Linked DNA regions of Lonchura striata. The protein of the gene in region 2 purifies or fractionates together with the protein of the main gene of each other region. This does not show direct contact. Links are inferred from orthologs where the notes say so. Each region holds a gene or a part of one and is shown on either strand. Other genes may lie near its edges.

Evidence for each region. Proteins that work in one complex are often made in the same cells at the same time.
Region 1: the proteins of DHX8 (region 2) and NKAP purify together in Homo sapiens (co-immunoprecipitation; 3 studies listed by BioGRID and IntAct, with this or other methods). This does not show direct contact. The link is inferred for Lonchura striata from reciprocal best matches to the Homo sapiens genes DHX8 and NKAP.

Annotation. Positions count from the first base shown.
Region 1 is NC_134616.1:9,031,378-9,039,453, forward strand, and holds the start of NKAP (NF-kappa-B-activating protein), read right to left. Parts: upstream 3,272-8,076; coding exon 3,036-3,271; intron 2,692-3,035; coding exon 2,611-2,691; intron 2,231-2,610; coding exon 2,157-2,230; intron 1,944-2,156; coding exon 1,824-1,943; intron 1,083-1,823; coding exon 1,037-1,082; intron 650-1,036; coding exon 534-649; intron 385-533; coding exon 309-384; intron 1-308. Other genes in the region: ZBTB33 (transcriptional regulator Kaiso), read left to right, coding at 3,458-3,482. UniProt on the Homo sapiens protein: Acts as a transcriptional repressor. Plays a role as a transcriptional corepressor of the Notch-mediated signaling required for T-cell development. Also involved in the TNF and IL-1 induced NF-kappa-B activation.
Region 2 is NC_134627.1:6,042,260-6,050,116, forward strand, and holds the start of DHX8 (ATP-dependent RNA helicase DHX8), read right to left. Parts: upstream 3,109-7,857; 5' UTR 3,062-3,108; coding exon 2,950-3,061; intron 2,638-2,949; coding exon 2,552-2,637; intron 1,964-2,551; coding exon 1,891-1,963; intron 1,562-1,890; coding exon 1,476-1,561; intron 877-1,475; coding exon 767-876; intron 679-766; coding exon 367-678; intron 85-366; coding exon 1-84. Other genes in the region: NBR1 (next to BRCA1 gene 1 protein), read right to left, coding at 5,713-5,886, 6,272-6,377, 7,084-7,153, 7,695-7,792.

The sequences.
Region 1 (8,076 bases), on a different chromosome or scaffold from region 2:
ACGACATCTCAAATTATCAGCCGAGTTCATTCTAATGACACTACGAAGTCACAATACTGCAGATCTTTAGAATAAAGGCACTTACAATTGATTTTTCTAGGAATCAAGGCTAAAAAGCATAAACCAGACTCTTCTACCCGAATTCAGGCCAAGGGAAAGCCTAGCAGCACTAGAACTTCTGTCTGTGAGTTTCTGGCACAGCATTTCTCCCTCTGCATGCCTTATTGTTGCAACAACCCTTTCGAACAGTAACTTTCACACTTGATTTACTTTATTTGATCAAAGTATCATTAGAGCTGGTTACTCACTTCAAAGGCCTGTCATCCTGAGATGCATGAGTTTTGGGAGCCTCTGGTCCAATCAAACTATCAGCTTCAGTATTTTCTGCAACAATCAAATAATGAGGAAGATTAATCTTGTATCCATTATTCTTTGTTATCAGAAAGGTTATACAGGTCAGCAACACCTAACAACAAATTCACAAAAAGGACATCAAGAAGTTTCCATCCAAGTTTAAAGTCAGGTGAACTTACTTGATCTCTCTATCCAGAGATCATCCCCTTGAAGCATTTCATCATCGGAATCTTCGCTACTTGAATCACTGGATTCCCTCCTGCTCTTCTTAGATTTCTTTTTCTTATACTTCTTCCTGTGGTAAAGCCAGACAGACATGCTATTTATCAAAATTTAAGATTAAAGAAGGTGCTTGGAATCATACTCAAATAATTAGTTTCTCAAGGCAACTTCCACCTATAGGAAGAATGCTGTCCGCTGTTTCATACAAAACACTTTACACCAAAGCCAAGACAATATATATGTTCTATTTTAACTTTCATAGAGTGTTAGAAAGTGGCTATACAGAAAGTTGTTTATGCTGCACAATTGTGTAGATTTAAATAAAAACTATCAAAATAATATTATTTGCCAGCTCTTGCAAATGACCTAAGGTCCTCAGGCTCCCTGAGGGCCTGCAAAGAAAACTGAGCTGCCCTCCAGGCAACAGCAGCCAAAATGATACAGCAACCACAACACTTACTTTTTGTTCTTCTTTTTCTTCTTCTTGCTTTTCTTTTTATCTTCATCTGAAAAAAGAAAGTGTATGTATTATCAAAAATAAATTATTAATTATAACTAAGTAGTTTACTGCCCTGTGAATAACACGGCATACCTTTTACATCCCCAGTATTCACAGAGCTGTAGGCTCTTTGACTCTCTCAACTCTAGCCCTAAGCCTAACCCCATCACCAGGGGTGGTGGTCAAGATCAGAAAGATGTAGGAGCAGCACAGTTGGGGCTTTGCTGGGATCACCTTGGAATGCCTTTTCCAGTCCCAATGTTCCTGTGACTCGCTCAACCCTAACCCTAAGCCCTAGCCCTAACCCAAACTCAATAATATGGGTTTTCCAGGTCAGAATGATGTAGGAAAAGCAATGTTGGGGCCTTGCTGGGATTGCCTTGGCATGCTTTTTCCAGTCTCAGTACTCCTGGAGCTATAGGCTCTTTCACTCTCTCAGCCCTAAGCTTAACCACTCCCCTAACCCTACTGCTAAGAATTATACTAACCACTACCCCTACCAATTAACCAAACCACTACCCTAAACCTGAGCCTATTCCCAGCACTAACTGCCTCCTCCAGCATGCCCTAGTACACATCCTGATGGGACTTGTTTATACTGGGAAAGTGTTAGGAGAAAGGTCCCTGCAGTACTGGTCGATATGAGAACATATCAAAGAGATCTCTGGCATGAGAGGCCCAGTGGATGCTAAATTCAGAAATCCAATTTCCTGAGGCTACACTGCAAGCTGAGACCCTCTTGTCTTACCACTGGAGTTCTGTTCAGACTCTGAGTCACTGTCGCTGTCCTCAGAATGTTTCCTGCGCTTTCTTTTGGATGCTTTACGTTTTTTCTTTTGTTTTTGCTTCTTCTTTTTCTTCTTTTCCTCTGGAATGTTTTTAAACATAACATTAGAGAACAAAGAACACTTGGTTCCATATGTATTCCCTGATCTTCCCAAAGCAATGCTCTCCTTTGGGCTGGAGCCCACCCCAACCACTCCCACCCATCTAAGCCAGGGAACCTCCTGCAAGCAGCAGCAGATTCTAAGCCACAGTAGCTTCCCATTTTTGAAAAAGCTGTGCAAGCCAGACAAAATACCTTCTGAGCTGGAATCCGAAGAACTACTCTTAGATTTTGCCTCTTCATCTTCTACTGGCGTGTGCTCATCGGAACTGAATAAAATAACAGTTTGCTACTTAAAATCTGTTTTGTTGTACTCAAGATCAAAGGTATACAAATGATCAAAGACATTTTGAATCAATCCCTGCAAAGGAGTAAAATATCAAAGATATTATAAAAATAATTTAGCCTGGGAACTGCTGTCAGAACCACAACACAACAATCACCTGATCTACAATAAATAATGTATTGCATAATTGGTATGTTGGAATTATTTGGTTGAAAAAATAGCAATCTCATTATGCTGCTTCAGAAAGGAAGTGACACAGTAAGTACTGTGGCACCAAGACTAATGCAGGGATAAAGAATTTTTATAAACTGAACTGATATGTAATTAATATTATAAAAAACATGAAGAAAGACTATGCCTTACTCTGGGTCAGGAACTTTTGGTGACAGCCCCCAGACTTCAGGCGCCCCCAGTTCTCCAATTCTCTCTCTCTCATTGAGTCTCCTGTAAAGGAAAACACTGACACTGACGCCTAGTTTGCAACACCCAGCACACAAACATTTTAAGTCTTACGCGTTAGTGTTTCCGAAGCAGCTACAGGAAGGGTAAGAAACAACTCGGAGCAAGGAGCAGGGGCAGGGGCAGTCAGGCAGCAGAGCTCCGCACACCGCAGAGGCTCGGCGGTAGCAGCTGTCACCCCGTTCCAGCCGAGCTCCGTCCCGGCTGCCCCGGGGAACGCACGGGGAGCCCGTGAGGGACCGTACAGAACCGGGCCCGGCCGCGGCACCCGCCCCTCCCGCGCGGAGCGGGGCCCGGCGGGGCAGCCCCGGCCCCTCGCCGGCGCTCACCTCTGCCGCAGGATCTCCTCCTTCTCCTTCTCGTAGTACTCGGGCCATTTGCCGTGGTGGTGGTGCCCGTGGTGCGCGGAAGAGCGCGGCGCGCCGGGGCTGCGGGACCGGCTGCGGCTCCGCCGGTGGCTCGGGCGCCTGGGGCCATTGCGCTCGCGGGAGCGGGAGCGCGAGCGGCGGCCGCGGCGCTCGGAGCCGGCGGCGGGCGGGGAGCGGGAGCGGGACGCGGGCGCCATGGCGGAAGCGGAGGCGCTTCCGGCGCTTCCGGTGCCCTCCCGGCCGGGCGGGAGCGGGGCGGGAGCGGGGCGGGAGCGGGGCGGCCCCGCCCGCGGGGTCACCGCCCCACCCGCCCGGCCGGCAACGCGGCGGCGGCGGCGGCGGCGGCGGCTCCTTTTGTGCCCCGCGGCGGCCGCCCGGCAGCGATGGACGCGCGCACGGCGGCCGAAGGTGAGGCGCGGACGGGGCGCGGGGCGCGGGCGGGGGGCGGTGGCGGCCCGGGCCCGGCTCCGCCCCGCTCCGCGGGCACCGGCGCGGGGCCGCGGCCCCGGGAGCTGTCCAGGGCGGCCCGGGAGCAGCACTGCCCCGCGGACAGCTCAGCGTGCCCCGGCGGGGCTCCCGTTCGTGGCCGGGCCCGGCGCCGCCTGGCACGGCCCGGCCCGGGCGAGGCCCGGCCCCGTGTTCGGGGCCGGCACCTCCCCGCGGCCTGACACGGCGCTGCCGGTGCGGCCGCTCAGGGCAGAACTGACAGCACGGGGGAAACGGCCCCAGCTTGCGTCGGGGCAGCTTTAGGGTGCGTATTAGGATTTTTATTTTCATGGGAAAGGTTATCAAGCACAGGAATAAGCTGCACAGCGAAGTGGTGCAGTCACTGTCCCCGGAAATATTAAAAAACCATGTGGAGATGGCACTTACGGACATGGTGTAATGGTGAACGTGGTGCTGGCGCTGGGTTCAGGTTGGACTTGATGATCTTAAGTCTTTCCCAGCCTTAACCTTTATCCATAAAGATGATACAAATTATATATTCAGATAAGACATCCACTCTTCTGTGAGCGCCCTTCCCCCTCAGGTTTGACCACGTTACCACGGAGCTTTCTTAAATAAACCCCGAGTTTCTGCTCAGCTCTGGAAATGCAGTGCGATATCGCTGGGTCTGGCCAGCTCCGTGTAAACGGGGCATTTTGGACAGCTGCTACACCCTGGGAAGCCCATGCTGGTTTATGCTGTCTAGAAATTATGTCAGGGTATGCCAGTCTCTTTTTCACAAATGGAGCAGTATTTTAGCTCCTAAACCTACCATAAACAGCATTTAAAAAACCCTGTAAGATGGAGGAAGCCTATTTAAACTGTGTATTTATTTGGGTACACGGAACCATGTGCAGTAGAGGGAGGGAAAAGATTTACCAGAAATTCCCACTACTGTCACCTGTGTCTGTGTGAGGACAGCGTATATTCTCCCTTCTTTTGATTATTTCGGCAAACTAATTTTGGATTATTTTAGATCTGATTAAATGATGCCTAAAACATCTGCCTCAGGAGCAATCTGCACTTGTGTTACCTAATACCATTAGGTGACTTGAAGTGCTTTTGTAAACAAGTCATAATGTCATGCGGTACATAACAGCATCTACAACAACTACTAATGTCAATAAAAAGATTACTGGACTCTTAATTCAGATATATGAAGCTTTATATAATGGGATTGGCAGGAGAAATAGTCTCAGAGATTCCTTCAAGGCATAAACAGTGAAAATTTGTATTTTAGAGTCTTTCAGAAGCAGTGATTTTTTATTTGAATTCCCACAGTGAAGAATATTTCTGTCCTTAAAGGTACTCTTAGGTAGGATAACTATTGAATTTCAATTTTTATTGAAAACCCTTAACTGTTCTGCTTATAAAATTTAATTTACTTTAATGTAAAATACTTGTTTTCATGAAGGAGAATGTTACTTTGTCTTTCAAATTTGTCAGTTCTTTAAAAGAATTTTCTATTCTCGCAAAGTGGATTTTTTAAAAACAAAAAAGCTTCTCAAGTTGCTTAATTGAAAACTCGTTACTGAATTACATACTGTTTTGTCGTCTTGTAAAGGCCTGCACATAAATTTCTTTAAATTTGTACTTCATATTTTCAGAGCCTCCACCCCAAAGTTTTTTTGATCACTTCTATACATTAAGATAAAAGTTGCTATTGGGTCTCTTACATTTTCAGTTCCAAGACAACCACATGTAGTTCTATATCCTGGATGTTTCTTATCTTAGATAAAATGGTTCTTTTATATTGTTATTGATATTGTAAGGCTTTATGTGACTTGAACCATCAAACACTTTCGACGCTTATCTGAACATAAAAGTGGAAAGAACAACCCCTAAAATAGGAGATGCATGCTGACAAAAAAAAATGCACACCGAAATTCAGCTTTTAGGTGCAGCAAGATGGTGGCAGCTTCAGTCAAATTGGCTGAGCTGGGGAGAGCATTAACTCTGTCCTGACTGCAGCAGTGTGACCGTGGGGTTCAGATTTTTTATCTGACAGAAGGACTTGCCATAGAGAAAAGCTGCTGTGAGAAAGGTAAAAGTCAAGGAGATGGTGCAGCTCTCCCAGCAGCTTTTAAATCAGGCAGCATTTCAGTGCCTAAGAATAAGTGGTTTAAACCTGATTTTTGAGATCTGGTGATGCCTTAGGAGCAGGAATCCTTCCAAGTGCTCATCTGTGGCTGTAAATTTTCCTGCTAGCTATTTAGTATTGGATGAGGTATTGAGAATAGAAATCCTTAAAGCTGGAGGATGCAAGGCTAAAAAATTGTTTAATTTGGGCCATCACACATTTTTGGAGGAGAAAAAAAGCACTGGATTAAGTATTTAAACAATTATAGTATTATTTTCATTTAATATAGCCTCATGGGTAAAAATTACGAAGAACCTCTATCAAAGGAGAAAAGAATTGAAGGATCATGTGAGGAAGAAAAGCCTATGTTTTTCCTGATGAGTGTTTTCTAATATTTATCCTCATGCAATTGACTCTCTAGTAAAACCTATAAATAAACAGAAACTGGTTTTGTAACATTTAAAATCTGAAGCCTCAATTCAGAAAGGCATTTGTGTTACTAGCTATACAGATACAAGGAGCCTGGCAGGTGATTTTCTTGCTAGAAGAAAGATTATTCTTGCTAGAAGAAATTGTTATTTGTTTCTTGTTCATAAACCTGGCAGGACCATTTCATTGCTGATTTACAAGGTGAAGGATTGCAGTCATGTCTGCCAGTGACTGTGGCCTGTTACGTTTGTCATCGAACTTGACAGGACATTCGTTCTTGTCAAAGTTTTTAAATCTTAAGGAAAATCAGGAGCCCCTGTGGTTCAAGTCCACAGAATGCATAGAGGGGAAAAAAAAGGAACAGACGAGTAACCACAGATAAAAAGTATCTTTTATGATCTCGGTGTTCTTCGAGCATTCCTGAACAGCAACAGCTTCCCAGAGGCCGTGCTGTGGATGTGTCACTCCAGTGGCCACACGGCTAATGTGCCGAGAGTCGCATTTGGTCAAAGGCACTCTGTGCCAAAGCCGTACATGTCCGTGCGGCTGCTGGCAGAGTCTAACACGTGTGCCTGTGGCGCAAAGAATTCCAAAGAAATGCTCCCGCAGCAGCAGCAAGGGTGCTCAGGTGTGGGTTTGAGCTCCGCTCGGTGCTGGGCGGAGGTGCCGGCTGCGTCAGCGTTGGCAGAGCAGCGCCAATGGCCCCGGGAAGGAAACGAGACCCAGCGGCAAACAGCGTCCGCACGGCCTCATCCCGCGCTCGGCCGTGAGGCAGCGCCGGGGCTCGCTGCCGCCTCCGCCCGGGAACGGAGCGCGGGGAGCCGGCCGGGAGCTGCCAGGGCCGCAGCAGGGCCGGCCTGCGCCGAGGCAGGGTCAGGGCCTCGCTCCTCGGGGCGCGACGCGGGCGGTGTGTCCGAGCCGCGGCCCCGGGGCCGCCGGCGGCGCGGGGCGGGGCGGGGCGGCGCGGCGGGAGCGGCCCGGCCCCGCCCCGGCGAAGGTTCCCGAGGCCGCTCGGGTCAGAGCCGAGGGCAGCGCCGGCAGCGCCCCCCGGCGGCGGCGCGGCGCGGCGGGCGCGGGGCCGGAGCGCGGCGCAGGTAACGCGGGGAGCGCGGGCTCGGCGGCTCGGCTGCCCTCCCGCCCGGCCGGGGGCTCGGCACGGCTCCGCCGGCGGCGGCGGCGGCGGGGCCGCCCGCCAGCCCGGGCCCGGTGCTGCCAGGCCGCTCCCGGGCCCGCCGCTGTCAGCGCGCCGCTCCCGCTCGGCCTCCGGCCGCGGACCGGCCGCTGCTGCCTCGGCGGCCCCGCCCGCAGCGCGGTTCTCACGGCCGGGCCCGGGGTCGGGGGGAGCCGGCCAGGACGCGCCCCCGGGCTGGGACTCATCCGGCCGCGACTCCGGCCGCGGCGTCTCATCCGGCCCGGCCCGGCCCGGCCCGGCCTGGCCTGCGGAAATAAGTTTTACGGGTAAAATTAGAGCCCGTGACTCGCTGTACTGCATTTGGATGTTGCTTTTTTCCGGTTATTGGGGGGCTTTGAATGGGCAGTGCTGACGGATAGGTTACTTTGACTTAGCAGGTCTGCTTCGCTACGGTGCTGCTTCCGAGTCTCGGTTTGAAATACAAAGCCTTGCAAATATGTGACATGGGGTTAAAAAAAGTTTATTTTTCTGGGGAAGTAAGTGCACTATCCATAGCGTTTTCATTAACTCAGTTGATTGGTAATACGTCGACACACAGATTCTGGTGTCTGGCCATAAATAACTTCATGATATTTGGCTTTCTCATAACAACCTATGGAATATTTCACAATTAAAAATAAATTACTAATAATGTTTAAAGCTGTTTTTGGGACCCAAAACTTACATTTTCTTGGTTTTATAATTAAACTTACTTGCTGTTGCTTAAGAGGAGGTGTTGTTTCTCTTTTCCTCACCTTGTAAGAACCTTGGTAAGAACAGAGGATATATTCAGAATTCCACGTAACCTTATGGAGAAGAGGAAAGGACAAACAACA
Region 2 (7,857 bases):
CCTTTGCTCACAACATCAGCAACATTGGCAACCCGTCCTTCTCTTCGCAGCTCTGAGATGTGCACCAAGCCTTCCCAGCGCTTCCTAGGAGTGAAACAGAGGGGCATGAGAGGGGCACACTACTGCTCTGACAGCCCTTCAGATCACTCAGAAACTACATTAAAATATGTTGCTGTCAACAGATTGTGTATGTCCACAAACTAGTTTTAGTAACAAGAATTTTCTAATTCTCTACTGTTAAACTCACTTTCCTGAAACAGCCCTTCAAAGCCCAGAACAACTGCTGGTAGCTTCATCACATCTTTAAGGTACCAGCAGAAAAGAGACCTGAGCTGAAACAGATCTGCAGTAAACAGCCAAGGGTACCTTAGTCCTTCCAGCTGCACAAAGCACCCGAACTGCATTATGCTTGTGACTTTGCCGTTGTAGATGTCCCCGATGGACGGCTCCTCAGCCGGTGGCCGGTCTATGTGCTTGTCTCTCCACCTCTCATGGCTCTTTTCAAGGTACTTCTCCCGATCCCTGCGGTCCTTACTGGGACTCCAACTTCTGCTCCTCGACCGGTACCTGGATTTTCCCCTGTTCCTGTCCCAAGTCCTGGAACGGGACCTGGAGCGAGATCTGTGCCTTCGTTTCCTGTCCCTGCTACGACTTCGGCTCCTCTTCCTTTTCTTCGCCCTAACAAACCAAATTTAGATCTCTGCAGTGGATTTCACCTCAGGCAAGGAGAGCAGCCAAGACCTTCCCCCTTCCCCAAGACTCCTACCGATGGTCGCTGTCCCTCTGCTTGTCCTGCCTGTCAGCACTGGGCATCAGAGCTTCCAGTTCTTTCAGGGCATCAGCTGCCACTTTCACATCATCTTCATCCAGCATATTCTGCAAGAACAAAAAACTGATGCTCCTTTCTGCAAAAGGGCTGATAAAAAGATTGTCACAAAGAATTAATCTACAGAATTATCATCATATGTGTACCTATTTAGAAAGAATGCAAGATAAAAAAAGATCAGACTCAATATGTGATAAAGAAAGAAAATAATAAAGCACTCTCCCTGTATGGCCAAAATATTGAGACAATTCTGCTTTTATACAATAGAAAGTTCCATCTCAATGCCTCAGATTGTTACAGAAATACAAAATGCAAGTCCCTCATAGCATCTGAATATACAACATTTTTAATTAGTTTGCAACACATCATTACTTTGAACATTATGTAAGGAAGGCCAGGCTACAAATTTCATGCCACAAGAGTCTCATCCTCCACATATTTTGCAAAACAGTATGAACATGGCAATTGCTAACACCTATTCTTTGCAACAATGTGCAGTAACACCAGCCTTCTACCTCTTCCGTATTTTATTTCTCAAAGTTCACATTTATTCATGCATTAGACAGAGAAAAAAGGTTGAAACTGACTGGGGGAAAAAAAAAAAAAGTTTTCACACAGTCACAAAAGAAATCTGAAATTACAACCTTACCCTGATGTTGGGATTGTCTGGCCTGCAAAGGGCTGGATACAATTCCCTCAACTTTTCTTTCTCGGATTTGGGTTTGACAACTGCCTCTAATTTTGAGATTCAAAAAGAAGAAAAAAAAAAGCACAATGAAACACAAAACTCAGAACTGCTACAACAATTCACTCTTCGTTTTTCTGTAATTGAATATAAAGTTTAATTTTTGTCTGAACGCAAAGGCTGATACAGCTTTTACAGAGATTCAATTCAAGGAATACCGTGTTGCCTTCCTTCAGAGAAAATTCTGATTATTAGTGAATATTTGAAAGACTGACCACTCTGAGCAGCACCCTCAGAATAACAGCAGCAGCAAGCATGGTGCAAGAGGATTTGCCTTACAAGACTACAGCAGGAGCTGCACCAGTCTCACCCCACCTACCTTTGCTCGTGGATGGTTTTGGTGGAGGCCGCATCGTCTGGATGAGACGGAGCAAGTTACTGATGAGGGAATCCTGAAAAAAAATCAGTAAAATACTTCAGGAAATGACTGCAACACTTTCATTATTACAAGGCACGAGTGGGGGTTTATTCGCAGAACAAAATATGCTCAATTCTGAAGATGCAGGTTGATTTTTAGAAACTATCACTGGGCTTTGTGTATGCCCTAAAAAGGCGTAAGTTGAACTCAAGTCACTTAGATGAAATTATCCTAATTGTCTTTTTCTGTTAATAATTTTAATCAACTATTCAATCCAAGCACAATTATTCCTGAGACATCAATAAATACAGCATATAAGCATCCTAAGAAGACTTATGATATCTGCCTTCATGAAAAGTTGTTTCTTCCGTATTTTATATGCTCAACACAACAATAAGCAGCTTGAGTCCTCAGGAAGAGGCTTTTCAAAGACTACAAAATTTTTTAAAAATACGAGGAAGGGGAAGGCAGAGGAGACAGGAATATCAGAAGCTATTTAGTATGCAGTTTTCCAATTGAAGAAAACCAATAGTAACTGCTCATAACTCTCTTTAAATCGGAAAGCTCTATAAAATATGGCACAACAAGAATAACACATAAACAAGGTTCAGGCGCCACTTACAGTGAACTCAGCACCATTCTTCAGAAGAATTGCTTTAAATGTGTCAAACGTGGTATTTTTCTCGGCAAGACTTATGACAAACTCGGCTGTGAGGAAAAAGCACAAAGTAAACTGAAGCAAGAACGTAAAAAAGCAGAGTAAGGACTGCACGTGTGGCAGAAGCCGCTCTGGAGGTGCGGGACCATCCGGGCCCGGGGAGCTGCTCCTCGGCTCTCCCCGGCAGCCCACATCGCAGCGTTCCCTCAGGCTCACAGGTTTTGGTTTTTTTTAAGAAAAATACTGTTTTTTAACGAAAAGCACCTTCACAAAACGCACCCGGCCGCGCGGAAAGGGCTGCTGCGGCCCTGAGCAAGCCCGCCCTGTCCGTGCGCGGAGCTCGCCGCGCCCGCCCCGCTCACCCAGGTCCTTGTCGTTGATGCCCAGGTGGTTGTCGAGCTCGGTGCAGACCTTGGACACCAGCGACAGGTACTCGAGCTTGGCGAGCTCCTCGGCCGCCGCCAGCTCCGCCATGGCCGCCGCGGCCGCTTCCGGGACGCGCCGGAAGCGGGGCCGGGACAGCGGGGCGGGGCCGGAAGCGGGGCCGGGACAGCGGGGCGGGGCCGGAAGTGGGGCCGGAAGTGGGGCCGGGACCGGGGCCGGAAGCGGGGCCGGAAGCGGGGCCGGGCCGGAAGCGGGGCCGGGACAGCGGAGCGGGCCCTGCCGGGATGATGAGACCGAGCCGTGCCGGGCCAGCGGGCGGGATTTGCTGGGCACCGAGCCTTGCTGGGCGAATCGGCGCGGCCGTGCAAAGGCTTTCCCTAAACCAAAGCGGAAAGGCGCTTCCGTCCCCAGCGAAGGCCGGCGAGCTGCGGTAGCCCGAGTGTCGCGTTCGGGGCACGCCGGGTACGGAGCAGAACGGCGGGGGGAGAGCCAGCCCGGGACTTGTGGCTCCGCTTCTGTCCCCGACCCCGCCGGGCACGGCCGAAGCCCCGGCCCGAGGAGCTGAGTGCGCCCCAGGCAGCGGCGAGGAGCGGCCGGGCTGCCGCGCCCGCCGCCCGCGGCAGGAGCTCGGCTACGAACCCCACCCCAGCGCCTGTGCTCGCCCGAAATGAGACACAGAGGTCACATCTGCTCTGTAGAATATATTATAAATTATATCATGCATCCATTAGCAAAATATACAAAGCCAACAGAAATATAGCTATCTTAAGCCTGAGCATACAGCATCTAAACTCTAGGAAAAAGGAGCCTAAAGAGAACAGCATCTCACACCTGCCACTTCAATCTGCAGTGAAGTGCTCCACTTCAAATGCTTTAGTTTTGTACTTTATAGAACATATGAACATCCCAAATACAAAGGTACACATGGCAAACGTGGGTCCTGCTGGGCCTGACAGACCCCAGCAAATATAAAACCACACTGTGCTTCAAAGTCTCATCAGCTTCTGCATTTCACCCCTGTCCGTCCTCCTCCTTGCTCTACAGCTGGCATTAGTAAAAAGATACTCAAAACAACACACCGAAGGTGGAAAGTTACAGAAGGATCTTTAACTGGTCCACAGCACATAGTTGTACTGGTGTACAGAGAGATGGGAAACACTGCAAAATACTTCTACTGTATTTCAAAATAAACATTTAAGAGTATATCTTCCACAATCTATAAAAATAGGTTTAAAACAGAAGTGGTATGATACATTTGTTTTCTTCAACTATTTCAATGGCATTTTATCTCTATGGGTACTAAAGTCTTTTTAAAAATTATTGATAACCTGGTCAGCACAATACTGACACTGTGACAAAACGGAATACTAGTTTGAAGCAGGAGCAATATAAAATACTTCAGAATCAATGGTCTCTTACTGCAGCAAGGAAAAAATGTTTACTCGAAAGTAAGAACATAGCCAACACTGTCACCTGCTGAGGGACTGAACTCTGAGGAGTTATCTGGATACCCCACTGCACAGCAGTGGCTGGTGCTCATTTATGTCATTCTTTAGAATCAAATCTCTCAGCATATTTAGAAGGAAATTCTTAGATTTCCAAATTAAATCTGGGTATCTAAAAATCTTATAAGAAAATGAATTCTACAGATGTGGCTATGGAAACACAGGACCAGCTAAAACCATCAGAGGAGACTGTACATTTGAAAGTGCTTAAGTTAATGCATTTTTCAAACTCTAATGTAAAGTTATGTGATCCCTGCTTCACCCATTCTTTCCATTCCTAAACATTTCCAAAATTTGTACTCCAGTTCAGGTCTGGGTTCCTACACATTCTTGCATTTTTTTAATGTGGTATTAACAGAGTAAAATGTTTGCACTATTGTGAAAAAAGATAATGGTCAAATTTTTTATATTTTTACTAAGAGCCTGTAAAGATTCCTAGAAAATGCTTTCCTACCCTGACACTCCATTTTTAACAAAATGTTTTATGTAGGTTATACTTCTACTATTAGGGATCTGGTGTGCACTATCATTAGAGGTTCAATTGCTGGTGGTAATTCTCCTGCTTCATTCTGCTACAAGAAGCAACAACTTTACTGGAATTCATCAGTTGAACTGCAGTTACACTTTTAGACTTTTCAAAAGTCATTTGATGATTCAAGATGGCTTTCTTTTATGAGCAACTTCTTTTTCTTAGAATAATTTTTAAGATTTAAATTTGTCACTTTACTATCAAACATTGGAAAACCAGTTACTAAATCCTCAGAAGAAACAACCTCCTAGTTGCAGGCATCTCTTGTAAATTAAGCAGGACTACATTTTAGAGCAGCATTTTACACCAGTTTCTATTCCAAAGCTAATTAAGCCGACAAATTTCCAGCTGCCTAAAATAAAAAGTATATACACAATAAAATGGGAAGTTCTCATCTGGGTACAACATTTAATTCTACATGATTACCTGGTAAAAGGATTTGATCTGAAATCAGAGATTTGAAGACTACTCATTTAACTAAGAGGTCCAAATCATAACTGAAATTCTGGTATCCATTTCAAGAGATGCCACAAGGATTGTTTGACATTTCCATGAGGGTAAAAAGAAAAAGAAGTCAAATGCTCAAAGAAAAGCTGAAGCTTTAAGTCAAACCTCCAAACAGAGCAGCTGAGGAGCAGCCTGCTACTCTCGCTATCTTTAATCAGAGTTTACTCAATGAAGAATATTCCTCTCTCCACCAGGCAGCTTTAGCACCTACTGCACCAGTCTCTGTTACTGATCTGAAGCAATTCAGTCACCACTTCAATCATGTTATTGTTGTGTTTCTTCAGCAGCTGCAGGTTTAACTGCCTGTCACAGAATCCCATCTCACACAGACTGGACAGCAGAGAGGCAGTCTGCTCTTCTGGAGCTGCAGGCTGCTGAAAACAAAAGGGAGTAAGGTTAGTTTAAAAAGTTAATTTATTTTTTGCCATTTGAACTAGCAGCCCTGCATTATACTAGAATCAAACTGAGGCACAGAGGCTCTTCTGGCCCCATTTAAGCTATTTATAATCCCTTTCACTGCTCACTTATGAAAGTGAGGTATTACTCTTACATAATGCTACAAGAGGCATGCTTTCATCCCTAGGGCAAGGATTTCCCAGTCTGCTGAGAGAAGCAAACCTCAAAGAGACACCATCAAACTTAACATTTTACTCTTACATTAACTCCAATATAGAATATTGATACACTTAAAAAACATACACCTGTAAATTGAAGGTTATCATTCTATGGTACTCACACAGCACACAGAAAGACATTCACCTGTTCAATAATGGGTGGTCCAGCAAATAATGCTTTGTAGGCAGAAGCAGCAACTGACAAAGCTCCTTTCACGAGTTCTCCTGCAATGCTGCTGCCTTGAGGGTACCTGTGAGGAGACCAGGTGCTGCTTTAGGGTCAGTAAAGCCAAGGGTTTGTATCAGTGAAAGGCAAATTGCTGCCTGTTGAGGCAAAGACTGTTGGAGACAACAGCCCGTGATCCAAAGGAATCAGCAGTGTTTGGGAAGTGAGCTGTGCAAGAAGCTCATTCCTTTTTCTTGACACCTCTTATTGAATTGTGGGTGTATGCTTTCCATGAAGGGACCTTTTGTAAAGAGTTCAGTGCTCTCATCTAGAAGAGAACACACCTACATAAAAGCTGTGCACTGACACATCCATTCAGGGTAGGCTAACTTCTATTTGTTTTCTATGAATACTTAAATTACTTCATATTCTACTCAACATTTTGACTTACCTCTCCAATCTCAGTATTTTAAGACTACTTTATAGCTAGCTTGTAAAATCATCATCCTAAGAATGCTGAGATTTTCTAGAAAAAAAACCCACAGAATTTTAGAAGCATTCAACTCAAGCTCTTCATTAACTTTGGCTTGCCAGTTCTGCATCCTTTTGATTTGTGCCCAAATAGAAACCAAGATCTTGTGAAAACATAGCATGTTTGCTTTAAGAAGGGAGGCCTCTCTTAAATTAGTGACTATATGAAATCTGTAGGCCAGAGCTTTTTCCTAGGTGTCTAATTAAGCTGTTCTCAGTCTAAAATAGTGTTTGTGAAGTCAGAGCTTCACCTTCATTACCTCGGGTATTCTGTGAACTTAGTGAGAAATGCAGAAGATCCTGGCCCATGAGTATCTTCACCACTGGGTTCTGGAAGAGGAAGACAAAATGTCAACATGTCCAGTTAATGACAATTAAGCTGGAGAAATGCCACACATACATAAACAGAAAAAAGTGTGTCTCAGTACAACAGTAATACTCTAAGTTTAGTTATGTAGACCAGGTATCCAGGATTCTCACTGCAGTGAAAGCAGTCAGAAGATTTTCAGAACCATATGACTGATTCATCAGTGGTGTTTAACACAAGAGGAAATGCTGTCTCAGTGACTGTAACAGCAGCTTAAATACATAGCTCATCAATTCCATAGCAAGGGATTTTTCCAGATGCCTGTATGTACTTTTGAGTATCTTCTTACCATTTCTCATAATAGATGCTCTTAACTGATCTACAAAGTCAATTATTTCTTTATTTGCAACATCCACATAGCAAAAGTTCAACACCTAGAGAAAAACTAAAATCTTTACTTGATAGATTTCTGCTCTCCTCAAAAGAAAGGAGACATCAAATTCAATACTAGGCATAAGGAATAGATGATAGCAATAGTCTGCACCATTTAAATACTGTCAATACCTTCTCTTTGTATGTGATCATGAGAAGCAGAAGAGATACGCTCTGAAGCTGGTGTGTTTGATTCTTGGAAGATAGAATTCTGAAGAGATGAAAGATTCCTGAGAACATAAGGCAAAAACATCACTACTTTTTTTCCACATGTACACACATAAATAAGTCACGA